3 linked regions of the Nothobranchius furzeri genome follow. The protein of the gene in region 1 interacts with the protein of each later gene in a pairwise test. Links are inferred from orthologs where the notes say so. Each region holds a gene or a part of one and is shown in the gene's direction. Other genes may lie near its edges. The genes, in order: cdkn1a, bccip and spred1.

The links.
Region 2: the proteins of cdkn1a (region 1) and bccip interact in a two-hybrid assay, tested with the Homo sapiens proteins (2 studies listed by BioGRID, with this or other methods). The link is inferred for Nothobranchius furzeri from reciprocal best matches to the Homo sapiens genes CDKN1A and BCCIP.
Region 3: the proteins of cdkn1a (region 1) and spred1 interact in binary tests that used the Homo sapiens proteins (3 or more experiments, as listed by UniProt). The link is inferred for Nothobranchius furzeri from reciprocal best matches to the Homo sapiens genes CDKN1A and SPRED1.

The regions. Positions count from the first base shown.
Region 1 is NC_091743.1:46,700,547-46,708,739, reverse strand, and holds cdkn1a (cyclin-dependent kinase inhibitor 1), read left to right. Parts: upstream 1-5,664; 5' UTR 5,665-5,795; coding exon 5,796-5,798; intron 5,799-5,932; coding exon 5,933-6,383; intron 6,384-6,465; coding exon 6,466-6,521; 3' UTR 6,522-6,832; downstream 6,833-8,193. UniProt on the Homo sapiens protein: Plays an important role in controlling cell cycle progression and DNA damage-induced G2 arrest. Involved in p53/TP53 mediated inhibition of cellular proliferation in response to DNA damage.
Region 2 is NC_091756.1:42,759,307-42,771,014, forward strand, and holds bccip (protein BCCIP homolog), read left to right. Parts: upstream 1-4,700; coding exon 4,701-4,841; intron 4,842-4,963; coding exon 4,964-5,038; intron 5,039-5,111; coding exon 5,112-5,192; intron 5,193-5,278; coding exon 5,279-5,365; intron 5,366-5,444; coding exon 5,445-5,632; intron 5,633-7,842; coding exon 7,843-8,011; intron 8,012-8,126; coding exon 8,127-8,297; 3' UTR 8,298-8,809; downstream 8,810-11,708. Other genes in the region: mmp21 (matrix metallopeptidase-21), read right to left, coding at 111-942, 1,052-1,198; uros (uroporphyrinogen-III synthase), read right to left, coding at 1,792-1,914, 2,003-2,101, 2,185-2,270, 2,403-2,486, 2,585-2,659, 3,187-3,261, 3,364-3,460, 3,561-3,644 and 2 more. UniProt on the Homo sapiens protein: During interphase, required for microtubule organizing and anchoring activities. During mitosis, required for the organization and stabilization of the spindle pole.
Region 3 is NC_091758.1:26,565,050-26,576,128, forward strand, and holds part of spred1 (sprouty-related, EVH1 domain-containing protein 1), read left to right. Parts: intron 1-6,582; coding exon 6,583-6,841; intron 6,842-9,601; coding exon 9,602-9,770; intron 9,771-11,079. UniProt on the Homo sapiens protein: Tyrosine kinase substrate that inhibits growth-factor-mediated activation of MAP kinase. Negatively regulates hematopoiesis of bone marrow.

The DNA.
Region 1 (8,193 bases):
CCACGGTAGTTAACATCTTGACAGGATCATCTTCTGATAAGGAGGGTTTAGAAAAATCACCATGCAAGTTCACTGCAGTTAGCTAAAGCAGTAGAAAGCCAAACTGGAGTGACCGTTTCCCATTACACCATACTGCACACATGGCACAGGACTGGCATGCGTGGGTATCGTTCACGAGAAAGCCTCTCCTAAAGCCCATGCGCAAAAAGCCCGCCTAGGATTTTCTAGGGCCCATGCTGAAAGAGATGAAGACTACTGGGACTCTGTACTTTGGAGTGAGGAGACAAAGATCACTGTTTGTGGAACTAATGGTTTCAATACTGTATGGCGTCGTAAAGGTGAGGATTTCAAAGAGAAATGCATGGCGCCTACAGTGAAACACGGTGGTGGCGGTGTCCTTATGTGGGGCTGCATGAGTGCTTGAAATCAACAACGTACTGCTCTATTCTGTAGGAGAAGATGCGGCCATCACTCCGTGCTCTTGGTCGTCGTATGCTTTTCCAACACAATGATCCAAAACACACATCTGAAGCTACTGTTGCATTTCTGAAGAAGAACAGGATGAAGGTGATTGAATGATCACGTCTGTCTCTTGATCTGAACCCAGTCGATCACCTGTGGGGAAGCAGCAAGTTGAGCATCACTCTCCATCCAGCATCCAGCCTCTAAAAGATATGATTCTGTAAGAATGGAAGAAGATAGATGTTGCAATATGTCGCCAACTTGTTCATTCCATGCCTAGAAGACTTGGTGCTGTCCTTGAAAATCACAGTGGTCATACAAAACACTAGATGTAGTGGTTTTTGTTGCAGGGTGTATTCATTTTTTCTTCAACCAGTTTTAGTAAAACTGAAGATTTTGTGTGTGTAAAGTTATATTATTAATCTTAATTTCATGTTTCATGGAGTTAAACAAGTGTTCAATAAAACCCAGCGTTGTGAAAATTCTGTTCTTCATTGAGCTGCTAATTACATTTGTACTTTTTAAGAAGGATGTACTTACTTATGCTGAGCACTGTACATACTCAACGCATTACACACTGTGAAGATGATGAAACCAGTATTTTTAACAAAGTAACTTTATTACTTCTGCAGATTAATTATTAAGATAGTGTTTATGCTAATATTACATACTGAGTTAAGCACCAACTAGACCTTCAATGGACAATGGAGGAAAGATAAAAGCCATATGATATTAAGCATATAATGAAGTAATTTAGGTTCTTTCAAAACTTCAGCGCTCTAGCTTCTTTGCAATTGAAATACGAGGTTACTCAGCTGTTCGGTTGTTGCAGCTTTTTGTAGAAAACAGCTGATGTTTAGTCCCAAACACACTGGATACAGCAGTAACTATATAAACTAACAGAATATAGCTATGCTGTGCTGCTGATGCCAAGTCCACATCAGCACCAACATAACAAAAGACTCACTGTGGTCTGAGAGCAGCCAGGCCATGGTGAACTACAGTTCACTGTTTTGCTGGAAACTGCTGAAGGGCAGTGAGATGGTGCCTGGCAGGTGACTCATACTGGAATAAACACAAAATGACTTCAACAGCAAAAGTGGGTGGAGAGAAACTTTTTGGGTGCAATATGTAATTATTAAAATGTTCTCTGGGTTTGGATGCCTGGAACAGACTAGTCAGGGCCCCTTAACGTGGCAGGATTCCCCTGAGCTCAGAGCTACAGGTGGATTCACTGGAGTTGTTAGTCTCACTTGTTATTCACTGTTCAGATCACAAGTCACTCATCTTATCAGGACTTATATGTGTAATAATCTAAAACACTTAAAGAGACAATGTGTAGTTTTTACTGTTAATCTCTGGAAATATCCATCTAATTGTTGAAAATGAATTAAACGATGCCTAGTTCTTGAAAATATTGGCGGCTTTGAAACATATAACCATAAAAATCAGGTCTAAAATACACAGGATCGGGTGTAAGGCTTGATTTATGCTTGACGCGTCCGCGAGGTTCGCACGGCTCCGCGCGGCAAAATTGCATCATTTTAACAACCACGCCCCTCCACTGTGCCTCCGCACGGACCAAACTTTACACATCGCGCACCTAGGAAATTTTCTAACCACGCAGACGGTCGGATGCGGAAAAACATGGCGGACTGGCAAGAACTAGTATGGCAGAGGTTCGTAAATACAGACATTTGTATGATTCAGCTCTCAAAGATCACCGTGATCAACATGTTGTTAATAATTCTTGGAGAGAAATAGCTCGCACTGTCGGAAAAGACGAGGACGCTGTTAAAAATGCTGGAATGTCATGTTGTAAACAACAGTAATTTTTACTTCTACTATGGTGTAGTGTTGGATGCATGCCGTAGAGCTCCATGCTGCCCCCTACAGTTTGGGAGAATATTGGCTCACTACAGAGACCGCATGAACCATAAACGCTGCAAGTTGTGAAGCGCGTTCCATCCGCGTTCCAAGCGGAAAGTAAATGCGTCAAGCATAAACCAAGCTTTAGTCTCTGGGCGATGCCATATTATATATCATGTTTCATTCTATGGCAGCCGGTGAGGACTAAAAGCATTCACTGAGTTTTAACAAACAGTTATAAATTTTTCACCATTCACAAACATCGCTGATTTACACATTTACCTCTTCACTCGTCAGTGATGAAAGGGATTTGCTTGTTATTTTGCTGGAAGTTGAACGATCTGATGAAGTAAACATTTTAAAAAAATGTGCTCCCAGTGATTTTTGACCCTAATGGCCATCCGTTGTTAAGGCCTCACTCAAACACAAAAATGCTGCTCCCCCATCGCTAGGGAAAATACAAATTGTCACTTTAAATAGGCTCTTCAGCTGATCCTGGTTTGTTCAAAACACCACTTAAAGAGATTTTTCAGCCATTTAAAAGTTTTCTGTATAAAAGCTATTACCACCTGAACAGCCTCACCTCGTAGAAACAGTTTACATCCTGCTGTAAGCGCTAGTCCAAAGAAAAGTGTTAAAACATCTCTAACATCCAAGGTTTCATAGCAGCTCATTTTAATGTTATTTTATATGTTTTAACATTGGCGTCAGTTTTGCTTTACAGTCATTTGTATAGAACATTATGGTTATTTACAAAATAGCATAGTGTGTATTTCTGATGCATCCAGGAATATGAGGTCAAGTCAGGCAGGAATGTCTTAAAGAGACAAAGTGTAGTTTTTACCGCTATTCCCTGGAAATATCCATCAAACTGCTGTTGAAAATGAATTAAATGATGCCCAGTTGTTGAAAAATACTGGCAGCAAAACTTTTGCCATTCATAAACATAGTTGTTTTTCACATTTAGATATGTACTGCCCCCTATCGCCATGGAAAAAACACGCCGTCACTTTAATGGTTCTGTGAACAAAGCTGTGTCATGTGAAAGTGATGGTGGTGTTCAGAAAAAAAGTAATTATTCATGATTAATGATGAAGTTTTACACAGAAGCTCATTCAAACGACTAAAATCTCTTTAGTAAAAATAAATATGCTTACTTGTCCTTCCTGGTGTGTTTGTTGTGTTTATTTTTGACACAATTTTAATACATGTTTAGTTTGTTTACACCAGCTGCAACTGTACAAAGGTTCAGAATATACTTTTTTTAAAGAATGGGGTTTTTTTGTTGTAAACTTTATCAATTAAAGTTTTTTCCAGGCTTCAGAAAAGTGAGCAATAGGTGGACAATAAAGACATTTTGACCTAAAATCATCAGATTAACAGACTATGAAAGTAATGTCTTCAAGAAACTGGGAGAGTGTGTGCGTGCATTTGTGTGCGTGTGTGTGTGTCTGTCTCCAGGATACTGCTGCACTCAGTCATGTGCACTGAGAGGAGGTGGGGCAGCACCTCTAGGACCAGACGTCCTGGCCTGAAATTCCCTCCAGTACCTTGCCAAAGCTTCACGTGTGCTTGTGTGTTTTTGGGACAAATTCCACGTGCGTGGGACAGATAGCGCCACCTCTGTTTGAGAGGAGGAGGGTGTCTCCTCCCACCAGTTTAAGTCAGTGGAGTCTCTGTCCATGGCTTTGAGAACACTTGTAGATTTCTCCGAGACTCACTAATACTCTTTATCCTATGGATCTGTGGAGGCTTTAGGATCAGTTACCTCATTCTCAAACTTTGCCTTACATCACACTGAAACTTGGAGACAAGCAGCGAGGAGGTGGAAAAGCTGACTCAGTAGACAACAGCTTTAAAAGAGAGGAGATTTAGAAGCGAACTGCACCTGATTTGGCTCAACATGTAAGTAAAACACATTAAAGATGTTATTTTATATGTAAGAAGTTAGTAGTTGTTAAATTTAAAAGAGCTTCTAAGCATCTGAGTAAGATTTATGATTTCACAACCTTTAAAACTCAACACACACACACACACACATATATATATACACTTTTGTAGCTCATTAATAATTGTATTCTAAACATTTGAAGAACAAAAACGTTTTTACAGGACTAATGTGTTCCTAGAGGTGTGAAAAGTTGACATAAATGGATCTTTGCGATCTCATTTTTGCACATCCAGGAAATCCATAAACTCTTGTTTGGTGGTTTTAGTTTTTTTTACATGTCTGTGTGTGTGTGTGTGTGTGTGTGTGTGTGTGTGTGTGTGAGAGAGAGAGAGAGAGAGAGAGAGAGTGGGTGAGTCCAAACTGTGACATCCCAGTTTGACACGAGTTCCAGACTCACGTGGAGCAGAGTTGTAGCTGAACTGGGCTGGGTCCAACTCAGTCATGCATGACTAGCTCTCCCGCCAAAGCTTGAGTCACTCCTCCCAGAACCACCCTGCCCAGTAAAAGAAACGCCCTCCCCCTTCCTCTGTGGGACCAGGGCAGCGCAGGGATCCAGCAGGGATCCTTCAAACCCTTTTATTAACCTAATGATCCACCCACAATTGGGGAGCTTTATTCTGAGCCCTGTGCTGTGGGTGGGAGCGTTGAACACTGCATACATAGTCTTAGTGGTCATTAGATGTGTCCAACAAACCCATTTTTTAGTAAACTCTGATACAGACTGTAGTCAACTGACTTTACTACGTAGATAATTTTGATCAAAATGCAAAGGGCCCTTCTTTTTCTCATGAACAAACCAAACTGAACTCCATGATAGGAGCCAGATCAAGCTAAAATAGAGACATATTTCACTCTCATATTTTATGAATCAGAAAAAAGGGTTTGTGCTTGTGTTTGTATGAAAATAAAAATCAGAATCATATCAGATTATAACAGATGACTTGTTTCATTGACACATTTTTATTTATAACACTAATCAGTATTTTACTGAAACGCATCTTCACGTCAAATTGAAGCAGATTTTTCCAGATTCCGTTTGCAGATAACTGGAACAGCTTCTGTAAAATAAGCTCGTGTCCTCTTAATCACTGATAACGTATTTTATTCATCTCCCAATCTCATCTGCTGCACCGTAACTGGACGGGCAGGGACTGTTTTCCTTGAATGCTTCCTTCCTTCTTGGATGGTCTGAATGACCTGTTTCCCAGGTCAGAGTCAGAAAACAGTCACATGTTTCCCTCAGTTTCAACGTAAACTGAAGATGAATTATTTCTCTGGTGTTTGCCTCCGAGCTGTCTGTAGTCGGAGTGACAGTGCCACCTTGTGGTTTATCTCTCTTACACCAAACACCACAACAGCAGAGGACTTGCCCTTACATGCCTGTGAGAGATTATGCCCAGACATGTACCAGAGAGGAGGGCTAGTGACTCACTGCTGCTGCTGCACTGCATTATAAAAGCCCGTCAGCTCACAGAAGCAGTCTAGTTCACTGAGGAGCTGTTAGGCTAGAACCATGGTGAGTCTGACTAAACTTTGTTTAAATCACTGGTTTGAAAATATTAAAAACATTTAGTTTGTGTACTTTTTAGACTGTGGACAAAATAGATTGTGGCTTTTGAAACTAATCAGTTTTCCTGTTTTTACCTACAGTGCAGAGGGATGGCTACACTTCACAAGCGAGCCCTCAGTACTCTAAGAAGGAACGGTCCCCCTCGGCGGAGCCTGTTTGGCCCAGTGGACCGAGAACAGCTCCAGATGGAGTACCGGACTGCCCTGCGTAAAGATCTGGAGGAGGCTTCCCAACGCTGGGGGTTCGACTTCTTCTCCGACAAACCTCTGGAGAGCGGTGATTTCCAGTGGGAGATTGTCCCAGGTACCAGGGTGCCACTGCCCTACAGATCCAGCGTCATCTGTGCAGGACATGCAGAGGGTCAAAGGTCAGCAGGTGCAACCAAAAGAGGAAGGGTGGTGGTACCAGAGAGGGAGAAAGAGAACTTCCCCCAAACTCTAGAGAAATGTTCTCTGAGTCTGGAGAACATGGAGACAACATCAGAGACGGAAGACAAATCAGGAATGAAGAGGAAACAGACAAACATTACAGGTATGTTTAGATATTTTTTATATCAAATTAGAAACACTCATCTTTTCTCATAAGCTAAGTATCCTCTTCTTTAACCCAACAGATTTCTATCAGGCTAAAAGAAGAGTTGTCTGGCTGCCGAGGAAATCCGGGGAGTGATATTTCCTTTGAAGGTGCCAAAACTCCCAAGAGAACCAGACAAAGAACCAGCACCTCCTTCAGGAATCAGTTGTTCCACACCGAGCAGCGGGAGTGCTGAATCATCCAACAAAAAAAAAACAAAAAAAAGAAAAAAAAAACCCAGAAGGCACCAGGCTAATTAAGATGCTGCATGTGTGAGGGGTCTGGTGTTTTCTGTCCACGCTGCAGTTAAGAAGGTGACATTTGAGCAGAGAAGATTAACAGTAATCTCTGGAATCAGTGGATTTATACTCATTTGGACTGAGAGCTCGCCAAATTGCTGACTGACATTTGTTACGGCGCGTCACACAGCTCTTAACCCTCTCGGTCTCGTTTTGATAAAAGGACGAACAACTAAGTCCTTCAGGGGTGCTTCTGAGTTAAAAAATGCTCATGAGATACTTGTGTGGAGTAACCAGGTAGGTAGGTTTTAACTGTTGCAGATCTGCGATGCCTGCCTCCAGAGGGTTAAAACACAATCACATCTCAGTTTGGTGGGACTTCTGCCTGTTTGAGGATGAAAAGCAGACGTGCGAACAAATATCAGGACTCAGATTAATACGTTTCTGTGGCAAAGCCGCAGGAAAGCTAAAAACAGGAGAGCTTTGTCTATTTTGTTCAAATCTATAATTGTTTTTCTACGTCTTTTTATAGGAGTTTTTTTTTTAAGTGCATTATATTTTACATCGGGGGTTCCCAATCCTGGCCCTGGAGGGCTGGTATCCAGCAGGTTTTGTGGTTTTTCTGCTCCAACAGACTTGATTCAGTGGTTGAAACGCCTGTGCAGCAGCTCATCAGGCTCTGCAGAAGCCTGTTAATGAGCTGCTGATTGAAATCAGGTGTGTTGAAACAGAATTCAAACTAAAACATGCAGGATACCGGCCCTCCAGGACCAGGATTGGGGACCTCTGCTTTACGTAGTCATCGGAAAACGGCTTATGGAGTTGTGATATATCCTTAAACATGTGGTTGCATTGCTTAGACTATAATCAGCAGAAGTGCCAACTTTTTCCATCTCATCCACTGATTTTTAAAACCGTTTAAACCTCCACAACTGCCCTGCTTAGACTCAGATAATGTAGGTTATATCTGTAGCATCATGTCTCTAAAACATTTGTAGGACACATATGATGTAGTAACAGTTAGGCTTTTGTTTGTTTGTTTGTTTATATTTGTAAGTCAAAAACATTGCAGTGTTGCACATAAATCCGAGGGTGGTGTTTTACATGTCTTTGTGGCACATGTGTTTTTAGTATTTTAAGCTCCATAAAGGACAACTGGGTGAAAGTGTTTTAGTGTACGTAACCACATGCTTTATTGTATTGTATTTGGAAGCAAAGTGCAATTTTACCAGACAAAGGGTATAATTTATTTTATTTTTTATCTCTGTTCCGGCAAATCCTGCTGCTATGGAAAATCTGAATGGTGACACACAAGGTCCTGTAATGTTAATCTCTTACGCATTGAACTTTAAAATGTTCACCAACTTCCACAAACAACAAATGCACTTCTGTTATTAAATGCTCTACATGCAATTTTTGGTAAAAACTTCAAATTAATGTGTTTTATTTATTGATATGTCATAATTTGTGTCAATTTAGTTTATGCTCATTTTAAATTTCAATAAAGTTTAAAACTGGCTGTCTTGTGA
Region 2 (11,708 bases), on another chromosome or scaffold:
ACACACACACACACACACACACACCCACACCCACACACACACACACACACACACACACACACACATTTTCTAAACTCCAACAAATGAAAGATGTGTCCTCTGAAGCCTACCTGTGCCAAAGCCCAGCCTGATATCAACATCCTCCAAAGGTGACCTAATATCTTCAATAAACTCCAGTGGTGACACCTCACTCCACATCCTGAAAGCCAGTCTGAAGATGTACCTTTGCTCCTCGATACTCAGCTGACTGCTGTAGCCTTCTCCGATCAGCCGCCATTTTAGTACACTCTTAGAAAAAGCAATGAAACCAGTTTGATCCAGGTCTCTTCTCTGCCGCCTTTTTGACACCAGACTGGAAAGGTGGCGCTTCCTGCGTCTAACTGTGTCACTCAGACTTGCGTTCATACTAATTTTCCCCATCTGACCATCCAAACCACTGAAACTGGAGCTGTTCCTGTTTGTATCATTTGAAATACCCACGAGAAGAGTATCTGTATCATTAAAATTGAAAATGTCATCATCAGAGGAATTAGAGCTGCTGATGCCTGTCTCATTAAAACTGTCACTCAGACTGTCTTCGGTATCTGGTCCATCAGTGTTCTCAGGCTCTACGTAGGCGTCAATCTCCTTGTCGGGGACTCCACACCTCGGTTTGTTCATCGCCTCCTGGGTGGCCTCATCAAACACCCCTGTAACAGGCAGATCTGAAACTCTCTGGAACTCTTTAAGTGCTGAAATAAATGCTTGATTCCCAGTTTGGCTCACATGGACATCATGAGTGCCACTTCCGGGACCATCTCTTGAATGAGGCACTGAGGTCCCCTCCTGAATTTTGGCTTGTAGATCATCCAGGATGTCTTCACTGAAATAAGTGTCGGAGCTCTCCGTCTGGATCTCCTCCCAGTTAATCGGCTTGATGAATCCATATCTAGAGAGAAATAACTAAAGCAAGACCCAGAGCTGGCTTGTTTATTATTATAGATACAATTGGTAAAAAACAAACAAACATATATTTATACATATACACACACACACACACATTATAAATTACCTCGGCTTTGTATTCATCTGTAATAACAGGAGCCTGGTGAGTTTTAAGGATCTGAACATCAGAGTGATCCCGATTATGGAAAAGTTTCTCCGCGTTGTTTGGGATGGTCAGAAAGAGCAAAGCAATCAGCTGGATGGAAGTCAGCATCGTGCCGTTAGTTTTTACTAACAGCAGGAGCAGCACTGCTTTATAAGCAAATGTTTCTCCACACCCATCTTAGAGGAGGGACTGTCTGGAGGTTACACTTTCCTCAGTTGTGCGTGAAAAGTAAACTCATCAGTTTGACCAACCTCCATGTCATTCATGCTGCGATGATTTCAACAAACTGTCACCAAGCCGTGGACACCTTCACTTTCATCTGAGCAATAAAAGATGTAAAACACTTTTGCCAACACCTGCTTACACACACACACACACACACACACACACACACACACACACACACACACACACACACACACACACACACACACACACACACACACACACACACACACACACACACACACACACACACACACACACACACACACACACAGAAATGTTTTACGCAAGATTTGTCAAACTGATTAAGGTTTATTTTCAAAAATAATTTAAAATACATTTTTAATCAAATCTGAGATGAAAGAAAAATGGCTAAACTACATTTTTCAGTGCAAAATCAAGAAAAGGGCATCAAAACAATGACAAAAAAATCCCAAAACAATGAGAAACAATAAAAAGTGTATTTGTCTGGTTGATTACTGAAGAGCGTCGGCTATCGCTGCAGCCAAGTGTTGAGCTGTTGGTTGTTCTGCTGTGCAGCTGACACACAGACCCTCTGCTGCCATAGCATCTCGTGTGGTGGGCCCTATGGCTGCAAACTGGAAACAGAATGAGCGCTGAAGACCTGTGGCATGCTCCATAATCATCCATTTCATATATTTTTGATTGACCATAAGGAAACTTTACCTTAATTTGCGTCAGCTGTTCACCTGACAGCCTCCTTACAGCTTCCAGGCAAAACTTCACCCCAGACGGACTGAAGAATCCTACACTCCCTGGAATACCCTAAGAACACAAAAGCAAATAAACACTGGTTATATATGAAAATTATGTTTTTATCAAAATAAAAGAGGAGTTGGGAGTTTCACCTGCTTTGTGAAGTAGTTTTTTAGATTCTTCTCCAGATCTGGATGTTCAGTAGTTTGATAGACAGTCAGAGTCTCCAGGGGAACCCCTGGAAACAAAGAAACACATCCCCAATGTGACAAAGGTAGTGCAATTATTATTTTGTTAATTAGCTTAACCCCAGAGGGTATTTCGCCGACCTGAGCTTTAATCGTGAGACACAAAAGAGGGAAAATCTTACCATTTTCCCTTAAAGCCGTGGGCAAGACTTCTCTTTTAATTGAACCACAGGGGAAGAAAAGTGGTGGGATATTTTTTTCCTCTCCTAAGAAATGAATCAAATATCACTTCATTTCAGAGATTAGAACAATTAAATGATTATACAGAGGTGTAAAAAATGAGAGAACAAAAACCACATCGTACTTTCGATGATGAGACGTGATAGGACGTCTGCTGTCCCCGTGTCCTCACCCTCGGGCTCCAGACCCAGGCTCTGTACTGAAATCATAAAAAGCACAAAGATTATAACAGAAATGTTTAAAAAACGGGTTTTTACAGGTCTTGTCTACGTATGTAAAAAAACATTCTAGCTATTTTTAAATCACAACAAATGAGTGATTCAGGGCGTAAGGCAAAGCATATTAGAATACAGCTCTTATAGCCCCATCTACTTGCATTTATTTTTTCTTAGAGACCCATGAGCCGACTGGAAAAGGAGGAGACTTGGGCTTCCTACAATCAAACACTGACAATGGAGTCAGCTGCCACTAGACTAACAAGGTAAAACCAACATTAGGAAGGTTTTACACTTGATTGGTGTCTTCCAGATCAAATCCAGTTTCTGTGGTTCACAGCTTACTGCCACTTGTGTGTAACAGCAAACTGAAGGTAGTTACACTACTTTACGCACATGTATGAACACCAGGTGCTCGTCACACCCGGCTGCATCTTTCACTAGTTTATAACGTGCACTATCCATAAAAACATCTAGAAAAAAGGTGTCTGCAGGTGCTCTAAGAACTCACCTAAAGCTGCAGTAGCCTTCCCAACCACATAGATGGATTTCCTGTTCCATTTGTCTTTCAATGATTTGTTCCACTCTGGATGAAAAATATTGTTTTACAAATAATATTATTAAAATTCTCAAGCAGAATTGGCACACAGACACGCTAATGCTTTAATCATGCTTGTTTCATTTTGACCTTGTTTCCTATCTTTATCTTCCAAGCACAGCTTCACAGCTTCCACCGCTCTTGGACTAGTGAATATCAAGCCACCGTGTTTCTCTGGTTGAAGAAGCTTATGAAATAAATACATTAAAATGATCAGTGGTTTACACGTGCAGCCATAGAAAGTTAGGTAAATGACACACTGGTTCAGATAATGTTATTTAATTTACCTTATCTGACAAGGTGTTTGCTGAGATAAACTTAAAAGACAACACTGGAATTAGGGTTGCTTTGTGCCCACGTGATTCCAGCTCCTGTAGAGTAAAAAGCATAGCAACAAAGCAGTGTGTGTTTAGTTAAAACCACGTCATTGATTTGGTTAAACTGTTTCTACCTTAATGTAAGGATCAGGTCCAGACTCTCCATCTCTGGGGTCTTTAAGAAGCAAAACACGCATCCTGTCAATGAATAAAAGACAGTTCAACGGAGCCAATAACACAAGGTGGGTTTTGACATCTGTTAGAAAGGTATCAGCTGCTTTCAGAAATTTAAAGTAGTTAAATCAGAGGGTGTGGAGACTTAAGTAGCTCAGCTACACCCAGAAACGGTCACATGCAACCTACAGATAGCAACACTGTTGAGTCACGATCCCTGAATAGGAAAGATTATACACTAAACTATTATAAACTAACAATAACGTCAACTTGTATCGTAAAATCCGCTTTAGCGTAGTTGGGCACGTCGGTCTGTTGTTGCGGTCTGTCTGTTGTTGTTGTTGCAAAACACACTGACAGATTAGCCACGATAACGTTCCAGTTTAACCAAAAATACGTCGATTTTCAGCTATAAACGTTAATAGTTTTTGTTTAACATTAATTGCGCAATTATATTTGCAACAATATGCGGTTGGAAAGACGAAATAACTGCATAACATCGACATATATACATGCATAAGAATGAACACCTTCAGCTGTTCATCGGACGACTTCATTGGCATTTAAAAATAAGATGTCCAAAAATTGCCTGTCGATAAATGTCTCCCCAAATCTATGTAAAATTAGAAAATGTTTTATATTTACATTTTAAACATTTAAATAGGTCATCTAATGCAAGTTAGTGTTTATGTCACATATTTTAGAGACATATTTTCTATTTTATTCCAATATATTATTTACAACGTTTTCCCCAGTGTTAGGAAATGGTTCAGTCGCGTGAGCCAACATGGAGTCGACGTCTGTTCGGATCTTCTCGGGTGTACGCCCATTCCACAGTCATTTTGAGCCAAAATGGCGCCCGAACGTGTCCAGTTTCCTGCTATCCGTTAACCTTAGCAGCGCCTACTTAAATATACACGGGTTTCACGCTTGATCATGGCCTCATCCGCTAAGAGGAGAGCAGTGGGTTTGGGTGAGAATCCCGAAGAAAGCGACAACAGCTCGGATGAGAGTCCGGAGGATGACGGCGAGTCTGGAGAGGACGACAGCGAGGCGTCAGAGGAGGAAATCGACGAGGTGGCTAATCCACAAAACCCACGTGGCCTTTCTACCCGCTAGCTAGCATGTCCGTGATGTTATCATGAAGACATAATCATTTTTGGTTTAAAATGCATATTTTTTTTCTTCTCTACTTGCAGGAGGTCGTGGTGGATTTTGAAGCCCATGCGATTTCAAACAACGACTTCAGTGGCATTAAGAAGCTTTTGCAGCAGGTGCAGAACTGTGTGTTGTTGTCACATAAGCGTCACGAATAGTTGTCACTAATCTTTACTAGTTTGGACTCAGCTGTTCCTGAAGGCGCGTGTAGACACAGCAGAGATGACGGACATCATCATCCAGCAGAATCATATTGGGAGCGTCATCAAAGTGAGTCGTTTTTTTCCAGTCCCAAACTTTGAGGCGCTGCATTTTATCCCCTGTTCTGATTACGTTCCTCCTTCATCTGGTTCTAGCAAGCTGAAGTTCCAGAGGACAGTGATGATGATGACCCGGATGAAGTCTTTGGATTTATTGCTATGCTCAACCTCACAGAGAGAAAGGTAGGTAATCTCTGAAGATGAGTAAAATACGTGAATTTTTAACTTAATTTTGAAGGTTGTGGCTTTTCTTTTTTTTTAGGGCGTGCGGTGTGTGGAGGACATCAAGGAGCTGATATTGGATCAGTGTGAGAAGAATGCTTCTCACAGTGTGACTGAACAGCTGGAGCAGATCTTAAATGACACAAGCAAACCTGTGGGACTTCTGCTGAGTGAGCGCTTTATCAATGTGCCTCCACAGATCGCCCTCCCTCTGCATACACAGCTCCAGTGAGTGCTTCTTTTGCTGCCCAGTCTAACCACTTACAGGCTCCTATCAACAAATAATCACCAGAGAGAATAAGAAGTTCCTCTGAAGAACAAAAAAGAAACAGCACTACAAGAACATTGTGCCATCCATCCATCCATTTTCATCCGCTTATCCGGAGTCAGGTCGCGGGGGCAGTAGCTTAAGGCGAGAGGCCCAGACTCCCCTCTCCACAGCCACTTGGGCCAGGTCTCCTCCGGGGGAATCCCAAGGCGTTCCCTGGCCAGGTGAGAGACATAGTCCCTCCACCGTGTCCTGGGTCTACCTTTAGGTCTCCTCCCGGTTGGACGTGCCCAGAAAACCTCACCAGGGAGGCGTCCAGGAGGCATCCTGGCCAGATGCCTGAGCCACCTCAACTGGCTCCTCTTGATGTGGAGGAGCAGTGGGTCTACTCCGAGCCCCTCCTGAATGACCAAGCTTCTCACCCTATCTCTACGGGAGAGCCCAGCCACTCTTCGGAGAAAACTCATTTCGGCCGCTTGTATCCGCGATCTCGTTCTTTCAGTCACTACCCAAAGCTCATGACCATAGGTGAGGGTAGGAACGTAGATCGACCGGTAAATCGAGAGCTTTGCCTTCTGACTCAGCTCTCTCTTCACCAGGACAGACCGGTACAACGCCCGCATCACTGCAGATGCAGCACCAATCCGCCTATCGATCTCATGCTCCAGTTTTCCCTCACTCATGAACAAGACCCCGAGATACTTAAACTTCTCCACTTGGGGCAGGACCTCATCCCTGACCTGGAGAAGGCATTCTACCCTTTTCCGAATCAAGACCATGGTCTCAGATTTAGAGGAGCTGATTCTCATCCCAGCTGCTTCACACTGCTGCGAACTGCTCCAGCGAAAGCTGAAGATCACGATCTGATGAAGCCAACAGGACCACGTCATCTGCAAAAAGCAGAGACCTGATCCTCAGGCCACCAAACGGATGCCCTCCACACCTTGGCTGCACCTAGAAATCCTGTCCATAAAGGTTATGAACAGAATCTGTGACAAAGGGCAGCCTTGGCGGAGTCCAACTCTCACTGGGAACGAGCCCGACTTACTGCCGGCAATGCAGACCAAGCTCTGACACCGGTCATACAGGGACCTAACAGCCCCTATCAGAGGGCCTGGTACCCCAGACTCCCGGAGTACCCCCCACAGGGCCCCCCAAGGGACACGGTCAAACGCCTTCTCCAAATCCACAAAACACATGTAGACTGGTTGGGCAAATTCCCACGCACCCTCCAGGATCCCCCTAAGGGTATAGAGCCGGTCCAGTGTTCCACAGTCAGGACGAAAACCACATTGCTCCTCCTGAATCTGAGGTTCAACAATCCAACGGACCCTCCTCTCCAGAACCCCTGAATAGAACTTACCAGGAAGCCTCAGGAGTGTGATCCCCCTGTAGTTGGAACACACCCTGCAGTCCCCCTTTTAAATAAGGGAACCACTACCCAGGTCTGCCAGTCCAGTGGGACTGTCCCCGATGTCCACGCGATATTGCAGAGCTGCGTCAGCCAACACAGCCCTACAACACGGTGCCAGAGACGGAAAAAAAGTAACTCTCAGAACTTAAAATAATATCCATCAACATTGACATTTGTCGTAATGATCATGTGCACATGTGGGTGAAACATTTATTCTCTACATAAAGGTGCAGTCAAGTAGAACATGACCTTACTTTTGACGGCAGATCTGAATGAATCTGTCATAAAATAGCTCCAGTCTCAGTAGGATGTGTTTATATATGAAAGCAGTTTATTCATGGATCGTCACAGACCCTAACATCTACAGGCTCTGCCAGATGAATTTTCATAGCTTTATTAATGCATTTGTTGAACCTGCTGAGATCTCTGGTGCTGATGCTGCTGCCCCAGAAAACTACAGCAAGCACATAGTTCAAAAATTACATGAAGTTAAATCTGTCCTTATGACGTTTCTCAGTGCAAGAAGAAAACAGCTTTTGCCTAAAATAAATGATTAAACACTAACCTTCTTTGGGATCTGTGGGGAAAATCAATGAAATGAAACAGTGCCTCAATACATTTAATTCTGCAAAACTAAAAATAAGTTTGGTGATTTCAGAGAAATGGCCAAGCCCAAATTAGTATTTTCATGCTAACTGAAATGGCTTAAATATCTCCCAAGCTTGTTGATGACTAAATTCATCATGTCCTTTTTAGGAAAGAAATGGCTGAAGCTCAGAGAACCAACAAACCCAGTGAGAAGTGTCATTACTGCCTGATGGTCAGCAAGACGTGCAAAGAAGCTGCCAAGAACGTCCCGGCCAGAGGAGGAGCTCCTAAAGAGGAGTACATGTTTGTCAATGCCGAGGAGGAGTTCTTTTACGAGGTGAATGCTCTCTGTTTAAATACGTGATCACATACAGGGGAGTTTATATCAGTAACTTGAGCGTTTTACCTTCAAACTGTTAATAATAATGTCTTTGATGGGTTTGTTGTTGCAGCAAGCCATCATAAAGTTCCACTACTCAGTGCAGGATGATGCAGACTCGTGTTTGAGTGGCAGGTGGTCGTTTGACGACGTTCCCATGAAGCCATTCAGGACGGTGATGCTGGTCCCCGCAGACAGAATACCTGCAGTTATGGACAAACTGAAGGAATACCTGACAGTCTGAGACATTTCAGGACACGGTGAAGACCTGCAGCCTCATCAGTTGATCAAAAGCAGGATTACTTTCAAAAGTGTCCGTTTTAAGTGGGTTTTGTTTAAAAATGACTACAAACTGTCAATTAATTGTAAATGCAAAGGGCAGCTGTGTACAATTTGTCAGGTTTAGACTTAGTCTGACCCTTATGAGCTTTAAAATGACCGTTTATGATTTTGGTGTCTCCACTTGGATTAAAATGATGTCAAAGCGCTCTGTTTGAACACAGATTCTTCTGTCAGGTTTCAGTCTCTTTTATAATAATCCATTATCAGAGAAAGGAGTGGAGTTTATCTTGTTAAAGTATTTTTGTGGGTCACAAGTCTTTTGATCAATCACAGTCAAGGAGACAGCAGGCCAAACATTTAGATGCTGCAAGAGTGGTGTTCAATAGCCTGTTGCCCATTTAACAAGTTTGCCATCTGAAAAGTTGAATGTTGCATAAAGACTTTTAACGTGTAATAAATTGGTAACCCCTTATAGTTTGTTTCAGCTCACTTGATCACACTTCAGTCCCTGCTGCGCAGCTGCTGCTTACATCACTGCGGATCGTTTCTCTGTGTAGGGTTAGGGTTACAAACAGGACCTGCTGTTTGTCTCTACTCTCACTAGGAGGCAGCATTTAGAAGAAATGCATTAGTGCTATTTGAACCTGAAAATCATACCAACATATAAAACGTGAAGTCGCTACTGCACATAGAGATCACAACAATTGAGGAATAAAACAAATTAGCATTATCAAGGAATTCAGAGTAAGTTTAAAAACTACAAATATAAGTGGAAATGCTAATCCGCTACAACTGATGAATGAACTCACACGAGGGGAAACTTTGGTTCCAAAGCAGGGTCACGATATGGGAAGCTCAATCCTGATCAGGGTGTCCAGAAAATAATCCTGACACCACTTTCAACTCAGATCTGTCAGTCATTATGAGACACTTCAACCAAAGAACAAAACTTAATGTTTATTCTAATATCTATTCACATTGAGTAAACTAATTATTATAAGTCAGATATTTAAAGCTACAGATTGCTGTGAATGGATGAGGATGTACACTGGAGTTTTTGGCTTTGAAGGTGTAAACATGAGGGTGAGGTGATCCCCCTCAGCACGCTGGAACATTCTGGGGCACTGAAACGCCTTTTGAGTTGTGCCGGTGCAGGAAGCCATTTGGTTCTAAAGGACAAGAACCAACATAAACTATAAGTACAGCTCATTCTGGCTGTGAAGTCAAGATGAACTTAAGGGGCCAGACTGACAAGATGATCCTAATTTTGAACAAATTTCCATCATTGATGCTGGAAGCTTGTTCAGCTCCTATGCCTATGCCTGCATGCGGCTCTCCAGATCTGACGGTAAAACCTTGTGAGGGTAAAAGATTAATCCCTTTTTGTCTTTTGCCTTATAACAAAACTGAACACTTATTTGTTTTTACTCTTGTCTTTTTCATAAAATATGTTCCTGACTGTTTTTTTTCTTCTAAATGTATATTGTTCTCTTTTAACATTAACCTGCCAGAGGACTGCAGATGGAAATTAGCCTAAGGCTACAATCTGGCATATTTACAGTTGTAATGCTGTTCATAAATATGCATTGTCTTTTCTTTAAATGAAGTAATTAAAATAAAGATAATTTAGACCAATAAAAGACTATTGCAGCAAAGTGAGCAACATTTAAAATACATGACAGTATGTTTGGCTTGTACTTCCACTTCTTATAGTGCTGCATTAAACTAGATGTGTTGTACAATCTTTAATGAGCTGGCCTCTTTTCTGGTCCTGTTGGACTGGGTCAAACTCCGACAATAGTAACTCGCTGAGCTGCCAGCTCTGCTAAAGCATGGATGGCTGAGCCCAAATAGCCACACTACAAATTTATTTCTGGTTTTTGGGCCAACACACTTTCAAAATGCACCTCTTGACTGTGAGGAGATGCTATTTCTTGGAACAAGAAACATAGCTTACATCAGTAATGGTGTAGAGAAAATCTGTTGTAAATTCAGAATGTTTGTGGCAAATTCAAGCTTGTTTATGTCACTAGTGTAAATATTCAATCTTGCTTATGCCACTGGTGTAAAGATCAAGCTTGTTTATGTCACTAGTGTAAAGACCAAGCTTGTTTATGTCACTAGTGTAAATACCAAGCTTGTTTATGTCACTAGTGTAAAGATTCCAGCTTGTTTATGTCACTAGTGTAATGATTCCAGCTTCCATATGTCACTAGTGCAATGATTCCAGCTTCCTTATGTCACTAGTGTAAAGATTCCAGCTTGTTTGTGTCACTAGTGTAAAGATTCAAACTTGCTCATGTCACTAGTGTAAAGATCAAGCTTGTTTATGTCACTAGTGTAAAGATTCCAGCTTGTTTATGTCACTAGTGTAAAGATTCAAACTTGTTTATATCACTAGTGTAAAGATTCAAACTTGTTTATGTCACTAGTGTAAAGATCAAGCTTGTTTATGTCACTAGTGTAAAGACCAAGCTTGTTTATGTCACTAGTGTAATGATTCCAGCTTGTTTGTGTCACTAGTGTAATGATTCCAGCTTCCTTATGTCACTAGTGTAAAGATTCCAGCTTGTTTATGTCACTAGTGTAAAGATTCAAACTTGCTTATGTCACTAGTGTAAAGATCAAGCTTGTTTATGTCACTAGTGTAAAGATTCCAGCTTGTTTATGTCACTAGTGTAAAGATGTGAGCTTCCTTATGTCACTAGTGTAAATATTCCAGCTTGTTTGTGTCACTAGTGTAAAGATTCAAACTTGCTCATGTCACTAGTGTAAAGATCAAGCTTGTTTATGTCACTAGTGTAAAGATTCCAGCTTGTTTATGTCACTAGTGTAAAGATCAAGCTTGTTTATGTCACTAGTGTAACGATTCAAACTTGTTTATATCACTAGTGTAAAGATTCAAACTTGTTTATGTCACTAGTGTAAATATTCAATCTTGCTTATGCCACTAATGTAAAGATAAAGCTTGTTTATGTCACTGGTGTAAAGATCAAGCTTGTTTATATCACTAGTGTAAAGATCAAGCTTGTTTATGTCACTAGTGTAAAGACCAAGCTTGTTTATGTCACTAGTGTAATGATTCCAGCTTCCTTATGTCACTAGTGTAAAGATTCCAGCTTGTTTGTGTCACTAGTGTAAAGATTCAAACTTGCTCATGTCACTAGTGTAAAGATCAAGCTTGTTTATGTCACTAGTGTAAAGATCAAGCTTGTTTATGTCACTAGTGTAACGATTCAAACTTGTTTATATCACTAGTGTAAAGATTCAAACTTGTTTATGTCACTAGTGTAAAGATTCAAACTTGTTTATGTCACTAGTGTAAAGATCAAGCTTGTTTATGTCACTAGTGTAAAGATCAAGCTTGTTTATG
Region 3 (11,079 bases), on another chromosome or scaffold:
GAGTTGAGCTTCAGATGGCAGGATTTGGAGTCTTTTTCCCTGAAATTTAGACATCTCGCCTCGGATTGGCCAGCAGCGACTCTACCACTGACTTTGTTTGCTCTGCAACGTGGATGTTTTTAACGCATTAACTGCCAGCCATTTCCTGATCAGAAAAGCCCTTCACTGCCAGCTTTTTTCAGCATTTTCACTGTTTTTTTAAGAGTCACAGAACATTGAGCGCTAGGATGATGTCAATGCCAAAACTACCCAAACAAAGAGGAGACTCACCTCTTACATCAGGAAGAATCTGCGCGCTTCGAGCATTATCCGTTCTTTCATAATCCGTTGTCGAATTGTGATCGGCACAAGCTTTTCCGGTTTGCGCCTCACTTTTTTTACAGCAGCGGCCCAAAACGATCTCCTAACACATGGATTTTCTGCTTCCTGATCACGTGACATGTGACGTACACATATGAAGATCGGCTTTAGAGCTGGGATGTTCTCACGGTGTGGGGGCTCATTCCGACACCCACACAGTAAAAAAAAAAGAGCAAATGACGACTTTAGTCGTCATTGGCAGTAAACAGTTGGATTTAAAATGACTTTTGTCATCAATGGCAGTGAATGAGTTAAACACAAATAACACAAGCCTGGAGGAGTTCTGCTGTGTCGTGGAGTTGCTAATGCGAATGGTTAGCTTCTACTAGCTGAGACGTTCTCTGCTGTTTCCTGAACACTAAAACAAAAACCGCCTTCCCCGTCACGAGTCAAGTTGGCTGGCTCCATGAATGTGACAGTGTGACGCAGATCTGTCAAGATTTTCAACTCTTAGTGTATTTTATATCAGAAGGTAATGCAGGAGATAGGTGTAGGAGACACATTCTGAGACCGACACAAATTGAGTGATTCAAATAAATGGTAAATGGCCTGTATTTGATATAGCACCTTCTAGAGTCCTGGAACCCCCCAAGGCGCTTTACAACACAATCAGTCATTCACCCATTCACACACACATTCACACACTGGTGGGGATGAGCTACAATGTAGCCACAGCTGCCCTGGGGCGCACTGACAGAGGCGAGGCTGCCGAGCATTGGCGCCACCGGTCCCTCTGACCACCACCAGCAGATAACGTGGGTTAAGTGTCTTGCCCAAGGACACAATGACAGCGACAGACTGAGCGGGGCTCAAACCTGCAACCTTCCGATTACGGGGCGAGCACTTAACTCCTGTGCCACCGTCACCCCAATATATGTAGTTCTATGAAATAGATGATAGCCAACACAGATTTAGAGCCTACTAATAGCACTGATTCAGTGGAAGATGGGAGGAACATTTTGTGTCACTTCATACAAGACAAAAGAATTAATATTATCATGAAATAACTTATTAGTTTGGTATTTTATGCTTATTTCAAGGTTATATTTTTCATCAGTATTTTACATTACTAGAACTTCTAAAATAATACACTGCCTGTAGTAATAATAATAATAATAATAATAATAATAATAATAAATCTGGAACTCATTTGCTGTTTCCCCTGGAGTGAATGTTTCTGTGATTCATTCATTAGATTAGTTTATCTGATCCTAGTTAGTTTGTAATTTTTTATTTTTGTCAATCTCATCAATCGTTAGGAGAAACTTCCAGTCACCTTTTACAAGGTGCCAAGTGCTTTCACATGAAGAAAGAGCTTCAGATTTAATGCTCCCTGGCTTTTAGAGTAATTACTAACCCAGACCCAGGATATTGAAGTTTGGCAAAGGCGTGGAAGGCTGGAGACCAAAGGTTAGCGTTATTGAGCCGGCTAAAAGAGGAGGCATTAAAGGACAGGAAGCAACTGTTCAGCTTTTGTGGCAAGAGCTCCATTTTATTCATTGTAAACGTTGAGTTATTGTTAATGAAATCTCTCAGTATTCAACTACTTTTGGGAGGGCATTCCTCTCAATCACCTCATTTTCTGTGACATCATGTGAGCTGGCTAAACTTACACGGAATGGTGTATCTTAAGACATCCAGTCATCAAGTTGAGGGCTGTTTTTCTCTCTCATAGCTCTCGAGTCCTCGTCTTTAATATGTTACCATTCATTTGTGGAAAACACTGCCCTCGGCGCACCTTGACCTTTGTCGTTTCCGATGGCCCAATAGGCTGTTATCTAATCAGGGAAACGTATGACTTCAAGCAAGAAAGCAGGGAAAACAGTAAAATGAATGAGACCTATATTCATATTTGAAATATAAAGTTGTTTGTCTGTTTTGTTAGCATGTTTCATTTGGTGAGTTTATTGCCATCTTAGAAGTTAAACACCCATTTTTAAACTGTAAATAGTAAGTGAGCAGCCTGTCGCAGATAAGCGCTATAGGGAACTGCAAAGTGCAACAAAGAAAAGCACATTTTGTTGTCATTTTCTGATGTGACATCTTGTGCATTTGTACTAGTCATTTGTAAGCAATCAGATGACGTGATTGATAGTTTGAGGCTGTCTTACAGGGATTCATTTGTGATTGAAAGGGATTGTGATCCAGAGCCTGCTGTTATGTTCTGTCTGGTTTAAACCTGCTACCGATGCAAATTTGGAAATCAGAAGTTTTCACAGACTGAACTTGACCACATGGTCAGTCACCCTCTGGCTCAGGTTAAACATACACCGACAGCTTCAGACAAATATAAGCATAAAAACTAGGGGTGCACGGATTGCAGTTTTGGCCGATCACCAATCTTGTGAAAACCTGACTTGCCGATACCGATTTTTGCCCATACTGATTTAGTCTTAAAGGGACTTTACAGAGTTTTGAATTTTCATGCTCGCGATTGCCCCCTCAGGACAAAAGCGTAACGGCAATAGTAGGTTCGTGCACGAGGCGCGAATGCTGTACGTGCACACTCCTTAACGAAAATAACAGCTGAGACAGTCCCGTGTGTGTGTGTGTGTGTGTGTGTGTGGCCCGGAGGACAGAGGACAGGAGAACACGCAGCTAATTAATTAAATCATTTGGTTCTGTACCTTTCTCCTCAGCACAGCCGACAAAGGTTTAAGATGGGTCAGTCTTCCTGCATACTCAGACCATTCCCTTCCCTTGCTTGAAAATTGTTCCAAAATGAAAGTTGAACCCACATCTTTTTTTATCTGTGAATTCAATGCCGTTCGGCGAGTCTCAAATAAAAGTTTAGGCATCTTACTGTAAAAAACAATATACCATTAATGTAAAAAAGAAACTCTAAACGAACTATGTTCACATCCAGTTTCGAACCCAGGTCTTCAGTACGAGAGTCCGACGTCTTACCAGGTGAGCTATAGCGCCAGTGACGTGTCTAGTACCTGTAACCTTTATATCCTTGATGACAGCTGAAACAATGTTCAAAGAACGGTTCGGAGCGAAAATGGCTATTTTGTTGCTAATTTGCAGGAAATATCTAGAAGAAAGTTCTACAGAATGTAGCTAAAGCCGGACGTACACTGTGCGACTTTTTCACTCGTAGCACTCAGCTTCAGCTCAAACTGTACGACTTCCTCGCAGGGCAGATCTCACGAGTCATGCGCTCACACTGTACGACCCAGTTCTCGGATGCGACCTGACTGCTCACACTGTACGTCTGGTAGCAACACGTCGGCCCTAAAAATATGCTAAAAATAGCAGTTTTTACTCAACACGTCAGACTTTTTTGTCTTGTTTTGCCTGTTGTCCTTCGGGAGTGCTGCAGGAGGACACACAGGGATTTATGGGGGTTGGATGAGTAAAACGAAATGAAGAAAGTAAATCTGTGTTTTGTGATCAGTTTAATTTGACATGAACACGACTAACACGCTTTCTTGACAATCTTTGTGAGTAAAAAAAACGTGTAGAAACAAAAATGAACAGCGTGTGTTATTAGGGAAATAGCGAGCGAGCGGCGTTGATGCAGGATTGCGCATGCGCCGTGAGCGGTTCTGATACATTTTGGGTCGCAGCTGCTCGCAGCGCCGCTTCAACAGTGCAATACCCTCACGAGGGATGAGCAAACTATTAAACACGCCAGAAGTCCGTGCGAGCTCACGATTGCTGATCGGTAGCTGGTCACTTGGTGTTAATCGCCTCTCATAACCCCCTGTACACTACACGACGCTCGGCGCAAAACTCGCCCCGATCAAGTGGATTCTCGCACGAGTGGAAAATCGGCTCAAAAAAGTGAAAAAGTCGCACAGTGTACGCCCAGCTTAAGGGTCCTCAGAAATGTAGCTAAGTTCATCACTAGGCGTTAGGAATAGGGATGAGTACCGAATTCGGTACTTTTTAAGGTACCGACCGAATTCCATAGTACCGACCGAACACCGATTCACGTCATTTCAAACGGTGCCTCGTTTCGGTACTGCCAAGACAGTTGCGCATGCGCAAGAGCGTTATGTTGCCGGTCCCTGCGAGCCCGTTGTAAACAGAGCAAGCATGGTAGAAAGAACGCACGCTAAAGCTTGGGTCCACTTCACTAAATGTGATGGGTAACTGGGTGATGAAACTAGCGACAGACAACGATCTAAGTGAGACATCCTCATCTTAATCTGCTCCAGTAGGTAAATAAAATGTTTAAGATAACGTTACCTTGATTTGTTAGCTTCCGTTTCGCTAATGGTGCGTTCGCTTTCTCCTCGGAACTCCGAATTTCCGACTAGAAGAACATGAACGCGCTCTAAAGTTTGGCTTTACTTTACTAAATGCGACGGGTGAATGGATGAAGGTAAAACCAGCGACAACGATCTAAGTTTGAGGCATCATCGTTTTAATCTGCTCCAGCAGCTAAATAAACTGTTAAAGATAACGTTAGCTTGATATGTTAGCTTCCATTGCCACCGTTGTTACCAGCTAATGGTGCGTTCGCTTTCTCCTCGGAAATTCTAACTTCCCAGTAGGAAAAATCAAAAGAAAAAGGACGGCAAAAGGAATGAAGATACACAGTAAATTTAGTTCACAGTAAAGATGTTTGCTTCAGTTTAATTATCAGCTTATAAAACTACAAGGACGATGTTAAAATACAAACTTGTATGTTATTTATCGTGATATTTATCAAATATGGTTATATATATATATATTGAGAAAAATATATATTTAATTATAAAAGAGAATTAAAATAATAAACACTCAAAAGTATCGAAAATTGGTACCGTTAAGTACCGGTATCGACTCGTAGGTACCGGGAATTAGTACCGGATCGATTCAAATGTCAAAGGTACCCATCCCTAGTTAGGAACAGCGAATAAGTCGCTGAGTTGGCACTACGTGAACGTGCATGAAGCAGCCTGCTCGACCCGAGCATCTCTTTTTCTGTGATTTTACAGAAAAACAGACAATCACAGTAAAAATGCCAGGGCTCATTCTACAGGACCAGGGCATTGCAGGAGAATGTATGAAGAAGAAATTTATTATTTCTATACATGTTTTGGCTGTCAAACTTCCATAATGCCCCTTTTAACTAAAATCAGATTATGTCAATGTTTCAGTTTCCTTTTATTGAGAAAACCAAGATGAATACTCATGAAAACGATGCCAGTTTCAACTGGACATGTAATGTTCTCAAATAGGGATGTAAGAAAATATCGATATGGCAATATATCGTGATATTTTTTCCATCAGTATTATATCGATATTCAAAAGCCGTGTATCGGAAATATCGATATGGCAATATATCGTGATATTTTTTCATGCGATTATTACATCGATATTCAAAAGCCGTGTATCTAATTCTTGAAATAATTTACATGCAAACTTTTGTGTATTTTCTTTTCGTTTTGTGCAATTCAATCGCCACCCGCTAGTTGGCAGCAGTGTGCAACAGGTTTTGTTTCCACCATTGAACTGTAAATCCCTCCATCATGGTTCAGATACCTCATGTTAAACATGTTACGTATCAGTTTGGACTGTTTATTGAACATTCTTACAATAAATTCAGTAAAAAAATTTGCTTGTAACGTCTGACTGAATGTATCGCAATATATCGCGAAATATCGTATCATCTCCTCTGTATCGTGATACGTATCGTATCGCCAGCATTTCAAAAATACACATCCCTGTTCTCAAATATAAACAAACATATTTAGCATTGCTGTTTGAACTACAAAATCATATTTATTCCTTTAGACTTTCATTTTTTCTAATTTAGAAAACAAACTGTTGTACCTGTTTTGACACACTTGTCCAAAAAAATTATTCTATAGCAATAATTTGCTTTAACATCAACTAGGGGTGCACCGATTGCCGTTTTTGGCCAGTCACCGATCTTGGAAAAAACTCAAGATCAGGGTCGGTAGATCCGTCGGCAGATAGATCGGTGCATCTCTAATATAAACCATGCATATACTTTTTCTACAAGGTACGATAAACCTCTTTAGGTTGGTCCTGTGTGTAATTTTATGCATTAGATACAAGGTTAAAGCTAGCTTATTGAGTCTAAAATCAATCTATAAATCTGAGGCTGAGTAGGTCTGATGATGCTTTTGTAGTTCTTGTGACATCATTAAAAAAAGAATCCCGTTAGAAATTAAATGTATTGTTTTTGTATGAATTAGCTAACCATATTGTTTTTTTTTCTCCATCCCTCCCCCTTTGCCTTATTCCCTCCTTCCTTCCCAGTGACAGTTATGCGCGTGTGAGAGCAGTGGTCATGACTCGGGATGACTCCAGCGGTGGGTGGCTCCCCTTGGGGGGTGGAGGCCTTAGCTGTGTCACTGTCTATAAGGTCAGCCGGACAGAGGACATCAGCAGCACCCACAGTGGAGGCAGCGGAGGAAGTGGCAGCAACCTCAGCCCTGGCAGCCCCAGCCCCAGTCCCAGTCCGAGTCCCACCGTCGTGGAGTTTCACATCAGGGGCGAACGGCTCAAAGACAAATTGGTGAGACAATCTCAAATGTCCTGCTTTTCATTTTCACAAACAGGAAATGGTTTGTTCTCTCAATGCTGTGGACCCCAGTTTTCCAGACACCCTCCCTTCATCTCTCTCGTGCACACTGACACAAACAGGAAGTGGGTTTTTTGGCCTTCCTCCGTCGCTCAGTCTTCTGAAAATAGGAGCAAACAGCATAACGCTGTGATGCATGATGATGTCATCAGACAGAATGTGGGAAAGAACATGGATAGAATATGAGTTTAGTATTTCCACACTTTTATTTCCTGCCTTTTAATAGCAAAGCACCTTTCTTCTTAATTCTTAATATTGTCACCCAGCCTGAAGAGCATGTTTAGCTGTCTCCAAAGGATCAAAGGGTGTAGTCTACTGTCACTTTATTATTTACGGCGTTTGAAGTAGCTGCTCATGAACTTTTTGTCTTTCTGTCCTTTAAATGCAAGACAGATCCAGTAGACTGGCTTTAATAATCTGTGGTTTCAAGGGTGTAAATCTATTTGTGTGAGAAAAGCTGCATTCCAGGAGGCGAACGAGGCCACCTCGATGCTCAGAATCTGGTGATCCCAGACAATCTGACAGCAGAGGCTCGTAACAGGGGCGTCTGAGTCACGGTTTTTAATCTTCTTCCACTGAACTCACTTCATGCTTATTGCATCTGTGACGTTATCCAGGCGCGTGTGTGGCACAGAGAAGGGCGTGATGAGAATTCTGTTGTCCAGACATGGAAAAGACATGGCTCAGAGACCCCAAGCAATTGTGATGGGGATGTGGTGAAACACCCCTATCAGCGCCAGAGTTCCCAGCCGCCACAACAAACACCAACCCATATGTAGGTTAGTCAGGATGCCACCCAGGGCTGGGGTGTCAGCGTCAACCACAGCGCTACCAACTGTCTGGGGGCATCAGAAGAATCAGCGGCTACAAAGAAAACCACATTAAATGCTAGCCTTGGTTTAAAATAAAAATCCTTGTTGCCACAGTGATTTCTTCTAATTGGTAACACCGGTGTTTTTATTTAGGACCTAAACAAGAGACTATAATTATGTCATATGAGTGATTTCTAAAACTGAAAGAGTAAAGATGGAGTGGGTTTTTATAACTCTGGAAGCCATCTTTAGTTTGTCTGAAACATAGAACAGGAACACAGGCTACCATATTCTAGCTACGTCTAATTTATGTTGACGAGAAGGGTTCCTTTTCAGTGATTAATCAGTTTGGAAATGGACAGAAACACTTTTCTGTTTCTAGCAGCTGAAAATAAAAGTCAGGAATGCAGTTACTCCAGAGGAAAAAAGGAAAAGTGTGGTGGTAATTGTGATACATACGATGTCACAAAAACTAGAAAAGAGTCATTTGTCATGAAAGAGCAGGAAATGGAGGCGGAGCCATACGGATGGGAGACAGAAGAAGCGAGTTGGAGGGGTTTTGTCTGTAAGCGCAGTGATGCGGCGCAGAGTGTGCTGGTGATGACTCAGCTGGCTCTCTATATAGCTACCAATCACTCTCCTACTCCCTCCCTCCAGTCTGTCTCTCTCTCTCTGATTCTTCGGTCGATGATAACTTGCCATACCAGCTCTCGGATTATGACAAATCTCTGGCTAATCTCCCTGCCACTCCACCTCGCTTTCTTTCATTAGCAGTCGTTGAGTACCTCTGATTGATGCAGCTGTGAATGTGTCGTTGCCAAGGCTTCCTCTGAATAGCTTTACCTTGCAGCCCAGGTCTATCTGACACAATGCGTTTCTACAGTTAACCTTGCTGTTTTAGAAATGACCACAAATCACTCATCAGCCTATATTCATTACGAACAAGTTTATTTTGCAACACCTCTGGATGTCTCTGTTAACATGTCCTGCCTGTGTGCTCCTTCTGTCTTCTTTTCTACAAAGGTAGCTCCTCCTCCTCCTCGCTTTTCTTTGAGCACATTGTGGAATGCGGTGTTAAGTGTCATCCTGCCATGCAACTGTGATACTTTTTTCCCTCTGTCAGGCCTTGCAGCATGCTCACCTTACCTGCTCTGGCTCCATTCAGTCTCGCCTCTACAGTCACCCCCCCAGAGGCACCTCGAACCCCTCCTCCCCCGCCACACTTCTTTGCCACCCCATCTTCTCACATCAATTCTTCTCATTTTCCCTCCTTTAGGCTGTGGCAGGTAGTGACACGGGGACTGAGTTTATAAAACCATATTGGCATCTACTGCTTATATTTTGAACGCACCAGCTCCAGCAATGATCCCGTGAAAACACACACACACATTCACACCTTGTTAAGCCTCCTCTCGTGCATGTCAGTGAAAACCTCGCGGACCGTAATGGCCATGCCTCATTTCATTTAATCTGCCTAGAGGAAGGCCGGGAGACGGCCAGAAGCCCTGATTAGGGAAGGTTTTAGAAGCACATCCTCTCTTTCTGCTTGGCTCTTGGGTTTCCTGGCTTCAAAACATCCCATACTCCTCTTCAACCTACTTCAAGACAAGCTTGTGTTTTAGAGATTATTCTAAAATTGACGAGAGATGACTGAATTCGTTGTCATTTTTCTTTCTTTTGAAATTCTAGACTTGCACATGCCATCCCATAACCAGAAAGAACACATCAGAACAGATGTGACACATTAAAGCGCATCAGGAAGTAGGATGATGGATTAAATGTGCATCAATGTATAAAGTTAATCCTGAAACCATTAAACCAAACAGTGACATCACAAATGCCTAGCTGACTGTCACAACGGTGTGTGTCCGTATGATTTTAGGTGGTGCTGGAGTGTGTTCTACAGAGAAACCTGGTGTACAATAAGGTCAACCCCATCTTCCACCACTGGAGAATCAATGACAAGAAGTTTGGGCTGACGTTCCAGAGCCCCGCTGACGCTCGAGCCTTCGATAGGGGCATACGCCGAGCCATCGAGGACATCAATCAAGGTGTGGGCATGTTACAATAGAGTCTTGTGTGTGTCTTTGCGTTTTAAAGCAGGTCAGACCAGATCAGTCGGTTGTTACTCAGCAAAATGTTCCTTGATTTAAAAATACTTTTGCTACTGTTTTTTTTAGCCCGATCAAAAACATCTAAACCACTTCCAGAATTCTCACTTCTCTTCTCGTCTGATCCGATTTGTTCAGAATTCACTCCCGAGAGTTTGGCCCTCACTAGCTTCAGGTTATTGCCGTTAACTTAGACATTTGAAATAAGCCGAATGGCTTTTTATGAATGCACCATTGACATTTATTTCTGCCTTCTTCTGTTTATGTCTCGTATTGGCCAACCTCTGTTCTAGAAGTGATGCGAAGCTTCGATAAGTGTTGATGACTCCACCGTCACTTCTACTTGTTCATTGAACCCAATCGTGACACCAGCTCGTGATATCATATCAGTCCCAGCTGCTCGGATAATCTCGCTACTTCCTGCAGGGACTGGCTGCTCAACGCTTTGCCTGGAGAAGGGATGGTATAATACAAATGCGGGTAGGAAAGGGGTGAGATAGGGGCTGAACTCAGGAGATCTTTCATTGAGCTGGATTATTATTATTTTTTTTTTGTGAAGTAATTAAAAAAGGTAAAGGCTAGTAGTATAATATGTAGTATTCATAAGTTTCCTTAAAAGATTACTTAGATTTTGCTGTGCGGAGTTCCTTCCTAATAAGCAATATTTTTATTGTATAGAAGCAGAAGTTGCAAAGTCATCCAATTAGTAGAAGTGTTGCTAGCTCAGCAATCTGCTACCCAGCCCCATGTTACACAAGAGGTGAGCTGGCTAGCTGGGAGGCTATTATCTCTCTCTCTCTCTCTCTCTTTTTTTTTTTTTTTTTTACGTTTTAGACCTTAGAACCATAGGGAGTGTAGAGGAGATCCAACAAAACCTATCATAAACGCTTATCACAGCTGGGCATCAGTCTCCTCTTGCCCACAAATGCTTATCTGAGGTTTGAGGATCTGGGCACAAGTCCAGGCAGCGTCTAGGTAACAGGAAGTTTTACGGCAACACTGGCTTAGCGGACTGCTTTTCTCGTAAAATAAAATATGAAGCAGGAAAGAAAACATAAAGAATTGATTTTAATGAGAGTTTTTCTTTACCAGTGTTATTATTTGAGCTTATTCTTCAGATTGTTTTTATTTATTTATTTTTTCAAAATAAAGACTAATAATCAGCTTGTTGATTTAGTAATGTTTAAGTAAAATAACAAAAGTGGCCTATTTCTTTGTTCTGTATTAGAAAAGAGAAATGTTTCATCTT